Macaca fascicularis: one gene and its partners. The protein of the gene in region 1 interacts with the protein of each later gene in a pairwise test. Links are inferred from orthologs where the notes say so. Each region holds a gene or a part of one and is shown on either strand. Other genes may lie near its edges.

Region 1 (3,749 bases):
TTTTTTTTTTTTTTCCAGACGGAGTCTCTGTTGCCCAGGCTGGAGTGAAGTGGTGTGATCTCAGTTCACTGCAACCTCCACCTCCTGGGTTCAAGCGATTCTCCTGCCTCAGCCTCCTGAGTAGCTGGGATTACAGACACGCGCCAGCACGCCCGGCTGATTTTTGTATTTTTAGTAGAGACAGGGTTTCACCACGTTGGCCAGGCTGATGTCGAACTCCTGACCTCAAGTGATCCGCCCGCCTCAGTCTCTCAAAGTGCTGGGATTACAGGCGTGAGCCACCGCGCCCGGCTGCTTTTTTATACATTAAGTGTGCTTGCATGTAGACTGCGACCTCTGGCCCTCAGCCTCTTAATAAATACTCCAAATGACTTCACTGGAACAACCAGAGAATCACCCATCTATAGAGTGAGAAGTTGCTGATCTCATCACTGCGTGGGGTGGGGTGAAGGAAGCAACCCTCACCCTTTCTCGGAAAGCAGCTGGCTTTGAAGAAAGAGAAACCAGGACGGGAAAGTCTTGATTTCTAATCTGAAACAGCGCTTTTTGTCCAGAGACCGGTGACGAGCGACCCTGGGCTCGGGTTTTGATTGGGCAGTTCGGAAACTGTAAAAGCGAATTAAAAGGGTGACAAGCTAGCGCTTTAGCCTATTCAGTTCTGGGAGTTTGCACCGTGACGCTCTGCTTCGTGACCTTGGCTCTGCTCTGTGGGCGCCGCCCAGCCTGGGCGCGTCCATCGTTGAGTACCTTCTCCTCTGCCTCCCGCTCCCTCTGCTTCTATCGCTCTCCAACTGCCCTCCCTGGCCTGTGGCTGCCCGGTCCTCCTTCCCAGCCCAGTGTAGCCGGGTACCCGGGTTCGGCTCGCTCGGGTCTCTGTCCAGGACTGGGAAGCCACGGAGGGCCGGGAAAGTGGCACACTACTGGAGCGCACGCTTCGTACTCCCTCATTGCTGAATAACTACCGGGCAGGACTGGGTGGAACAGACAACATAGCTAGGTCATTGATGGGCTGCTGGGTACATGGATGGAGCTGGAAGGTGATGGGCACTGCTTTCTGGGGCTGCCCAGCTTCGTTCCGAGGGCTCTTTTTTCCTAGGCAGAGCGGGAAAGAGGAGGGGCAGGCCGGTCGCGAAACGCAAATAGTTGAGAATAGCGATCGGGGGAGAGGCAGGTGTCTGTGGGGCCCAAGAGAAGTACCACCTCGGTAAGTAGGCCGGTGCATGCAGGGGAGCGCAGAGCCCTAAGCCCTTCTCTGGGCTCCACCCGTTTTCCTGCTGGGCTTCTCATTTCCTCACTAGGTTCTAGGGTTTGCCGATCTAAATCCAGTTCGTGTACCATTGTATTGTGTAACATTTTTGGCAGCTTACATCTTTGTTTATTGAGATATAGTTCACAAACCATACATTAAAACATTTAAACGCACATATAAACGCACATTTCAGTGGGTTTTAGTATATTCACAGGGTTGTGTAACCATCACCTCAGTTTTAGGACATTTTCATCACTCCCAAAATAAATTCTGTACCAGTTAGGTGCCACTCCCATTTCTCCCAAACCCCTAGTCCTAGGAAACCACCAATCTTTCTGTCTCTATGGGTTTGCCTATTAGTATTTCATAGAAACAGCAACATATAATATGTGGTCTTTTGTAACGGGCTTCTGTTTTCAAAGATCATCATATTGTAGCAAGGATCAGCTCTTCACTCCTTTTTATTCATGAATAAATACTCTACTGTATAGGTACACTAAGTTTTGTTTATCCATCATTAGTTAATGGGCATTTGGGTTGTTTCCACTTTTTGGCTCTTGAGAATAAAATGTGGTTATCGATATTCATGTATACATTTTTGGTGTGGACATAGGTTTTCATCAATGCTGTTGAGTATATATGTAGGAGTGGAATTGCTGGGTGATATGGTAACTCTATGTTTAATCTTTTAAGGAACTACTAGACTGTTCTCCAAAGCTGAATGTACCACTGTGTATGAGAGTTCCAATTTTTCTACATCCTCACCAACACTTATTATCTTTTTTGTTATAACCATTCTAGTGGATATGAAATGGTATCTTTATGGTTTTGATTTGTATTTCCCTAATGGCTAATTACGCATTATTTAAAAATTATAAGCTAATTAATTTTTACAAAGATTTACATGCTGTGATTTTGACATCTTAACTTCTAGATCACGTGCCCAAAAGTCACAGAGCCTAGACCCAAACCAAGCCTCTCTAAGGCTAATGCTTGAACTCCATCCTCTCTTTCCTAGAAGACAATCTGGAATAAATTTTTCAGAACTCCATTTGTTGCCTCTGTTAGAAAGAAAACACTGGGCAAGATGAACCTGCAAGTAGACTAAACGGTTTATTTCTTATTTGCTGTTAGGAGTGTGTAAGGAGATTTTTTGGTCTCCCATTTTTACTTTATAAAAAATGAGTGAGTGGGCCAAGCACAGTGGCTCATGCATGTAATCCCAGCACGTTGTGAGGCCGAGGCAGGCAGACCACTTGAGGTCAGGAGTTTGATATCAGCCTGGCCAACATGGCAAAACCCCATCTCTACTAAAAATACAAAAAATTAGCCGGGTGTAGTGGCATGCGCCTGTAATTCCAGCTATACAGGAGGCTGAGGAATGAACATTGCTTGAACCCCGGAGAGGCGGAGGTTGCAGTGAGCCAAGATTGTGCCACTGCACTCCAGCCTGGGTGACAGAGTGAGGCTGTTTGTCAAAAAAAAAAAAAAAAAAAGGAAAGAAAAGAAAAGAAAAAGCTCTTAATTGAAGTAGTAACCCTTTCTTGAGTGTTTAATGATACTGTGTTTCTCTTCATGTAAGTGCCCCTTGGACTCCTCCTCCCCACTATCATCAGGTCATGGAATGGGGAGGGGCACTCAGTTTCAACAGCAGTGGTCTCCAAATTTTGTTCAAATGCATAACTATAAAAAATTTTTGGTATACATTCTCTACATATAGCTATACATTTTATACATATACTACTATCAACCTTGATTTAGACATTACTAAAGCTTAATTTTTCTCTCATTTTTTTTTCCATTAAAAATTCAGATCGAACTATCTTACAGGTGGCTCCCAGAAGACCCACTCCCTGTGGGAGCACAGCAGTTGTGGAGGTGAAGACAGGACTGGACCCAGAATAAGAGTTCATATATGCCAGGAAATCTGACCTCTAAATTCTTATAAATCAGAGAGTGACTGAACAACAGCAGTGAGACATTGAAGACTTTTAATATTTGCAGTAAACCTTGGCATAGATCACTTACTTCCCTAAGACTGAATCCAAAAAGCACAATGGAATACTATAATAAGCTGTGACAGCATGTGAATTCCAGACAAGCCTGAGCATTCCCTATAGCCAGAGGAGGCCCAACTCCTAACATAGCTTTGGATGCAGAACTGATAGAACTTGGGGAAAGTAATGAAGTAGTTGACCTCACCTGTGAATCTCTAGAACCTGTAGTGATTGACCTAACTCACCATGACTCTGTTGTGATTATTGAACAAAGGAGGAGGCCAAGAGCAAACACAAGGTCACTCCAAGACCAAACTGGCAGTTGTGTGGTGAACACTGTTGAGGAGGGGTTGAAGAGGGACAGAGATGCATATACAACAACACTGCCCACCATAATTCCTTGCAAAAAATTTTTTTTATCATATACTACGTGATTATATTCAGTGTCAAGTTTGTGTGGATGGATACTCAGAGATTGAACTTAGTATACAACACATCTACTC
Region 2 (3,749 bases), on another chromosome or scaffold:
CCAAAAAATATTTTTCTAGATTCCTGATTGTCTTTTTAGGTGGAGGAGGAACTCAAAGTAGAATTCATTTACATATTCATTCATTCATTCCACAGCACTAATCACTCCATGCGGTAACTCTGTGTCCCCATCTCTCTCAGATTTAGTACCTGGAAAACAGCCATTCTGTCTTAATTCAATTGGTATCCCCAGGGCGCATTTCTTTGCCTTGAAAATTGAGTACCCAATAAATGTGCGTCGAGCAAAACTACATGAGATGGCGAACAGGGGTTTAAGGGTATGGGGGAGAGTCAGCAATGACTGGTGTTCTCCCTCCCTCCCCGAGCTCTGCTCCTACAGATCCAGGACGCCTAGCGAGGGTAGGAACCTCTTCGGTGCTTCCGCAACGCTCTGAACAGCACGGCACTGAGCGCATCTAATTAAAGTGATGGTTTCATTAGATAGCAACTCAGCGAGACCCTGTTTCTACAAAAAATAAAAAATTAGCTGGGCGTGGTTGCTCGAGCCTCTAGTCCCAGCTACTTGGGAGACTGAGGCAGAAGGATCGCTTGAGCCTAAGAGTTCGAGGTTGCTGTGAGCTATGATCGCGCCACTGGGCTCCAGCCTGGGCGACAGAGCAAGATCCTCTCTCTAAAAAAAAAAAAAAAAAAAAAACAAAAATAAAATAATGGTTTAATTGCCGGCCTTTGCCCCTTCTGCCCCCCACCCCCCACAAGTCTGTAGGACCGGGTTGACTTCCCAGAGCTTAGTACAGATTAGATGCTAAATAAATGTGTGTTGGACGGATGGGCGAATGAATGGATGGATGGAGGATGTGGTTGTGCTTACCATGCTCCCCGGTCAGTGGGTTAATGTCGTCAGGCGGGGCCAGGCTCGCTAACAGCCGGGCGGGGTCCCTTCCCCCGGGCCCCGCCCCGGCCGACCCCACCTTTCCGCGCGGCTCCGCCCCGCCGCCCCCTTCCCAGTGGCCCCTCCCCGCGCAGGTCCCGACTCCAGCCGCACCTCCTCTGGCTCTGCAGTGGCGGCGGGGAGGCGAGCCGGAGCGACTGCGGGGCCGGGACCGGAGCAGAGCCGGGGTCGGGCAGCAGCAGGGACCCCCGGAGGCGGGGCCTGTGGGACCGCTATGGGCGTGGAGATCGAGACCATCTCCCCCGGAGACGGTACCGGGCTCCCTCCGGAGCCGGGGGAGGGGAGGGGTCCCCGGGCGGAGCCCGGAGGGCGGGGGTCTGATTCGGAGGTGGCGCGGAGGGTGCTGAAGGGTCGGGGGGCTGGATGGGGAGGGCAGGCGGAGACCCCGGACGGGATTCTTGGGGGTCTAGGAGACCATCCTCCACCATCCTCTTCCGCGACTCACCTAGGGGAATGTAGGTGGCAGCCTGGAGGCGGGGGTCTGCGGCCCGGAGCCGGGGGTCTGCGGCCCACCACCCCGGGCTGCTCCTGTCGCCGCTGCTACCGTTCGGTTATCCGCTGCTGCTGATACCCCAGGCTGGGTTTCGGCTTAGCTTTCCCTGCCCTGCTCGGCGAGCTCTGGAAAGCAGGACCTGCTCTCGGGTCTCCGCTGCTCCGGGACCTCCTCCTAGCGCGTCCCCCGCCGGGCCTCCTGTCGGTCGCTTCCCTGTGGGCCGGGCTGTGAGCGGCTGTGGGGACAGACCCAGGCTGGGAAAGGGGGAAGCGCTCCCTTGCCGGCTTCCGGATCTCGCTTTATCCTCCCGCCGCGTTCAGACTCCCTGGCCACCCTGTCCACTCCCATGGCCTCCACATTGAAGCTTCTAAGCCCAGCCCTGCGACCTGCGGCCGGACCTCTCCCTGGAGGTCCCAAGGTGCTCCCTAGTCAGCAAATCCAAAACAGAACTTGCGCTTCCCACCTTCTCCCCTAAGTGATCCTTCTCATCCCCCTTCCTTATCTCACTTTCCCAAGCCCTTGTATTACTGGGTCTGGGTGTGCAAGGAATAGCCATTTCTTTATTTCTTGAAATTTAATTCATACCAAAGCTCCCATTGTCTGCAGGGTTTGATGGGCAAACTTCATATCAGATATTATTAATATGAACAGCTCCCCTGCCCAGGAAATTGGAGAACTTCTTGGCTCCAGGCCATGCTCCTTGTCCAATCCCAACCACTACTTTGGATATCCCCTGGGGTACAGGATTCTTTGCCCACGCAGGAAACCTTGATGCTGGGTCCCAGAAAGCGTCTCCCTGAGGCCTTTTCATCCCCCAGCAGCCCCTGAGCTAATCTCCCCATCTTCAGCCTCTCCTCCCTGCCTTCAATCTCATCCCCAATCTCATATTCACTCCCTTTCTACATCATAGCCTGAAGACTCTTCTTAAAATGTGGTGGCTCATGCCTGTAATCCCACCACTTTGGGAGGCCGAGGCGGGTGGATCACAAGGTCAGGAGTTCAAGACCAGCCTGACCAACATGGTGAAACCCGTCTCTACTAAAAATACAAAAATTAGCTAGGCGTGGTGGTGCATGCCTGTAATCCCAGCTACTGGGGAGGCTGAGGCAGGAGAATGGCTTGAACCCAGGAGGCAGAGGTTGCAGTGAGCCGATTGTGCCACTGCACTCCAGCCTGGGTGACAGAGCGAGACTCGTCTCAAAAATAAGAAGAAGAAGAAGAAGAAGAAAACAAATGCATATTTGACCATGCCCCTCCCTCAGGTAGAAGATGTTTTAATGATTCTTCCCTCTCCCCCAGGCAGAGGGGCCTTTGGTGCTGTGGTCTATTCTCATCTTCCACACTAGAGCTTCATCTCTCACCACCTGTCCTGAGCCCACCACCAACTTTTTCTCCAGCTTTCCCAAGCTGCCTGCAAGTTGTTGAACACACCACTCATTCAGCAAATATTTATTGAACGTGTGTGCTAGGCCCTAAGGTGACAGCGTTGAAACAGACAGGGTCCCCGCTATTGCTGGACTGAAGGCCTTTGAACATGTTACATGTCATTCCCTCTTCCCAGATGGTGTTTTTTTACTTCCTCTGGCAAATTCTTACTTGTCTTTCAAGACCTGGCTTCGCCATTCTCTCCTCTATGATATTTTCCTTGACTTCTGCAGTCAGTTAGCTGCTCCCTCCTCCAGGCTCCCATAAAGTCCTCTAAATGTTGGCTCTGTGGTTAGCCTTCCTTAGGCTTTGTTATCTAGCCCCATAGCTTTAAATTCCAGCCAAATTTATATCTCCAGTGCAGACTCTTCATCTGCCTACTTGCAATATAAACTCAGATGTCTAATAGGCATCTCAAGATTGCCACCCGCACAAATCTGTTCCTCCCGTCTTCCCTATCTCAGGAAATAGTTCCACTATTCATCCAGTTGCCCAAACAGAAAACCCAAGCATCGTTCTTGTTGTCTCCTTTGTCCTCATCCTGGACCCCATTTCCAATTTGATTGCATGCCCTGTCAGCTCTGCTTCCAAAATATGTCTCCAGTCTATTTCACTCTCTTCTCTGCTGCCACCACCTTAAATCAAGCTATCATTGATTTCTTGTCTGGATTATTGCAACAGACGCCTTACTGTCCATCCTACACATAGCAGTCAGAGTGATGTTATAAAATCTTAATTCGGATTATGTCATTCTCTGGCTTAAAACCCTCCAGTGGTTTCCTATTGCACTTAGTATGAAATCCGGCTCTGCAAGCCCTGTATGATCCATCTCCTTCCCACCTCTGTCCTCCCTCCCTTCTTTCCACCTAACCTCCTTGCTCGCTGCAAATGGATTGATTCTGTGCACTTGTTACTCCTTCCC
Region 3 (3,749 bases), on another chromosome or scaffold:
AGACTCCCAAGAAATTGCAAAATTAATAAGGAGAATTCCTGATATAACCACTCTTTAAAGTTTAGAGTATACTCTTCCAGGAAATACATATATAAGCTTGTATAAATGTATCATATTTTCCACTCTGTTTTATCCAAATGGCATCATGTTATACATACTTTTGCGCCTTGATGCTAAAGACTGAATATGTCTTGCAAAATTCATATGTTGGAGCCTTAACTCCCAATACAATGGTATTTGGAGGTTGAGGCTTTGGGAGGTGAACAGGTGATGAGGGTGGAGCCCTCATTAATGAGATTAGTGGTCTTATAAGAAAAAAGATGAGAGAGATGGTCTATTTCCACCATCCACCATGTGAGGTTACAGCAAGAAGGTACCTGTTGGCAAACCAGGAGGGGAGCCCTCACTAGGAGCTGACTTGCCAGCACCTCAATTTTGGAATTCTCAACCTCCAGAACTATGATAAATAATTTCTTTCTTTCTTTCTTTCTTTTTTTTTTTTTTTTTGTGAGGGAGTTTCAGTCTTGTCGCCCAGGCTGGAGTGCAATGGCACAATCTCGGCTCACTGCAACCTCCGCCTCCTGGTTCAATCTATTTTCCTGCCTCAGCCTCCTGAGTAGCTGAGATTGCAGGCATGTGCCACCATGCCCAGCTAATTTTTGTATTTTTAGTAGAGATAGGGTTTCATCATATTGGCCAGGCTGGTCTCGAACTCCTGACCTCAAGTGATCCACCCCCCTCAGTCTCCCAAAGTGCTGGGATTATAGGCATGAGCCACCACACCTGGCCGAGAAATAAACTTCTAATGTTTAAGCCACCCGGTCCATAGTATTTTTGTTATTTCAACCATAACTGACTAAGGCACTTGCTAAAAGAGACAGACAAACAAATGAAAAGCCCTACTGAATTTATCACATAAATAATCAAGTTGTCACTTTAATTTTTTGTGTCACTTTTCCTGGATCAAAGTCTTTCTCTGATGCAAAACATGATATTCTCTTTACTCTATATATTGACTCGGGTATCATTAAAAAAAAAATTCAAAACAAACATGCCATTTAAAACGCATGCCATTTAAAACGCATGGTGCCAAACCTCTTTCCTGAACATTTTCTTCCAGCAGATCTGAGTTGGTGTGCAGAAATCTATTTAAAAAAAAAAAAAAAGTTCTTCAGGTAATCTAGCTAGATCTAGCACATGAAAGTTCTTATTCAGATTCTGGCAATTGTTTTCTAAGAATATATTGATAGAGTACATACTTTTAAAAAGTGAATGCACTGGTGCATGACCAAAGCCACAACAACACCCCACACATGTGACTGTGATCTTTGCTCCTTTGCAAAGTCCTCATAGAGCTGAAGAGTTCTGCACTTTGTTCCTTCCCTGGCACACCTCTCTCTGCATTCCTTCCATCTCCTGACATTCTCCACTCCTGTCTCTGTGTTTTAAAACCGGTGTAGGAAGTGTGCATGCTTGTGGCATCAGACTCCGGGCCATGTTTTTCGTGACTCCCATCTTGGTAGCCATTCTCTGCATTTTGGTTGTGTGGATCTTTAAAAATGCTGATAGACACATGGAGAAAAAGAAGGGGGAGCCTAGAGCCATAGCCGAGGCTCGCCCCTGGGTGGATGAAGACTTAAAAGACAGCAGTGACCTGTACCAAGCAGAAGAAGGTAAATATACCAGCTATGCTGCTTAGCTTCGCTGTCGTATGTGTTGATGATGAGTGTGAGTCAATGGCAGGGCTTATGGAGAGGAATAAACACACATAGGCCAGCTTTAGCATCAACCTCTATTCTGCTAATGAATCAGTGCCTGGCACAGACAGATCATCTATCTCCAGTGATGAGCTTGTCACCTGCTGGGACCAACCCTTTTTTATTTTGGATACTCAGTGAAAACACTGTTGAGAGGCTAAAGTTTTCCCTGGCTCCAATTCCATTCTGGTTGTTAAAATCTTTCTGCAGGGATTCATCCCAGGCTGGCAGTGGGCAGGGTCTAAGTGGCCAGGTTTTGATTAGGAACTTTGAAATCTACCAAGTGTCATCACCTAGGAGGCTGCCACCTTTCCCTGTGCCAGGCCCTGGAAATGAAGGACTGGGGTGGCCTTTGTCCTCAACACACTGAATGTCCAATTCAGCTGCCAAGGTGATACACGAGAATCAGAGAGAGTAACAAAGAGACAGACCCAGTGGAACTGATTCTAAGGTGTTTAGAGCAGGCCTGGGAGTTTGACAGTGCAGTCAGGGAAAGGACAAACTGGGTTGGGAGGATGAATAGGGTACAAATAGCAAGTGCTGGGAGGCCTGTCAGGCAACAAGGGGCAGAAGAAGCAGGAGCACCGGGAGGCCTGGGGTGGGGGTAAGAGAGGAAGTGGAGAATCGAGGGCGGAGGGAAGGGGTAAGAATGGCAGTAGAGAATTGAGGGTGGGAGGGTTACGGCCACCTTGAGAAGAAGAGGTGATGAAGGAGGCAGGTATGAAGAGAGAGACTGTGGAAGAGGCTTGAGCCATCAGTGTTTGAGAAGCTTTGTCTGGGATGGGTTTGATTTGGAAGAGGCTCTGTGATCTTCAGCTGGGCTAATGATGCCCCTATCCCCAAACAGAGTCTATCTGGACATGTGAGTGTGTGTGAGTGTGTGTGTGTTCATGAATGTGCATGTATGTGTGCATGTAGTGTGTGTGTGTGTGCATAAGAGTGTATGTGTGTGCGCGTGTGTGTGTGTGTGAGTGTGCATGTGAGTGTTCATTAATGTGCATGTGTGAGTGTGTGTACATGAGAGTGTGGATGAGTGTGAGTGTGCGTGTGCATGTATATGTGTGCCTGCATTAATGTGTGTGAGCATGCATGAGTGTGTGTGTGTATGCGTGTGTTTGTGAGAGTATGTGTGCATGAGTGTGTGTCCTAATCTCAGTTTTGGGGCACAGGGTGTCCAGCTGGCCCTCAGTGCTAGGAGCCTGAATGCACTGCACAGGAGTCTAGCCCCTCAGCAGGGCTGCCTCTTGCTCTCCTACATTGAAAGCTCTTCCACTCAGAACATCAGTTCTACCCAGCAGAGAAGCACTTTTAATCCAGGGGACATCTGCTGTGAAGCTGGGTAATGGTTTGTGCTGGTAAGGATGGCCCGGATGGTGGGGGCAGTGGGAATGCAGTGGAAGGGGTGGATCAGAGTGAAGTTAATGGAAGAGCAACAGGGTTTGCTAATAAACTGGGTATTGGGAAAAGGTAGAGAGAGGGAGACTTGGAAGCTGGAAGCTATTATAAGTGGGTGAGGGAATGAGGATCCAGCTTAAAGGGGAAGATGTTGAGTTCCATCAAGGACATGTTTTATTTCAGATGACAGTGACACACCTGAGCAGAAAAGGGAGAGAGAGAGCGGTCTAGGTTAGGGGCCCAGGCCACAGATACTGACTGGAGAGTCACCAGTATGGGGAAGATACTTGGAACCTGGGCAACTAATGAATCCACAAAGAGAGCATTGCTAGAGAGAAGGGTGAAGATAGAACTTGGGGGACACGTGCAGTTAAGAGGAACTATGGAAGAGAAATGTACTAGAGAAAGGGAGAAGCTGTGGGAAAGGGAGCTCTGGGATCATAACAGTAACAAGCCCTTATATATTAATAGCACTTACTGTATGCAATCAGAGTCACATTTTATGTGTAGTAAATCGTTTCATCTTCATGACAGTACAACGATTCTAATAGGTAGGCGCTATTAGAATCCCCATATTATAGATAAGGAAACTGAGGC

What was found.
Region 2: the proteins of TRIM69 (region 1) and FKBP1B interact in binary tests that used the Homo sapiens proteins (3 or more experiments, as listed by UniProt). The two-hybrid records come from large-scale screens. The link is inferred for Macaca fascicularis from reciprocal best matches to the Homo sapiens genes TRIM69 and FKBP1B.
Region 3: the proteins of TRIM69 (region 1) and IYD interact in binary tests that used the Homo sapiens proteins (3 or more experiments, as listed by UniProt). The two-hybrid records come from large-scale screens. The link is inferred for Macaca fascicularis from reciprocal best matches to the Homo sapiens genes TRIM69 and IYD.

The regions. Positions count from the first base shown.
Region 1 is NC_088381.1:21,340,600-21,344,348, forward strand, and holds the start of TRIM69 (E3 ubiquitin-protein ligase TRIM69), read left to right. Parts: upstream 1-1,095; 5' UTR 1,096-1,204; intron 1,205-3,749.
Region 2 is NC_088387.1:98,225,357-98,229,105, reverse strand, and holds the start of FKBP1B (peptidyl-prolyl cis-trans isomerase FKBP1B), read left to right. Parts: upstream 1-1,015; 5' UTR 1,016-1,123; coding exon 1,124-1,160; intron 1,161-1,354; exon of another isoform or gene 1,355-1,629; intron 1,630-3,749. UniProt on the Homo sapiens protein: Has the potential to contribute to the immunosuppressive and toxic effects of FK506 and rapamycin. PPIases accelerate the folding of proteins. It catalyzes the cis-trans isomerization of proline imidic peptide bonds in oligopeptides.
Region 3 is NC_088378.1:58,537,377-58,541,125, forward strand, and holds the start of IYD (iodotyrosine deiodinase 1), read left to right. Parts: upstream 1-1,475; 5' UTR 1,476-1,495; coding exon 1,496-1,673; intron 1,674-2,153; exon of another isoform or gene 2,154-3,099; coding exon of another isoform or gene 3,100-3,112; intron 3,113-3,749. UniProt on the Homo sapiens protein: Catalyzes the dehalogenation of halotyrosines such as 3-bromo-L-tyrosine, 3-chloro-L-tyrosine, 3-iodo-L-tyrosine and 3,5-diiodo-L-tyrosine.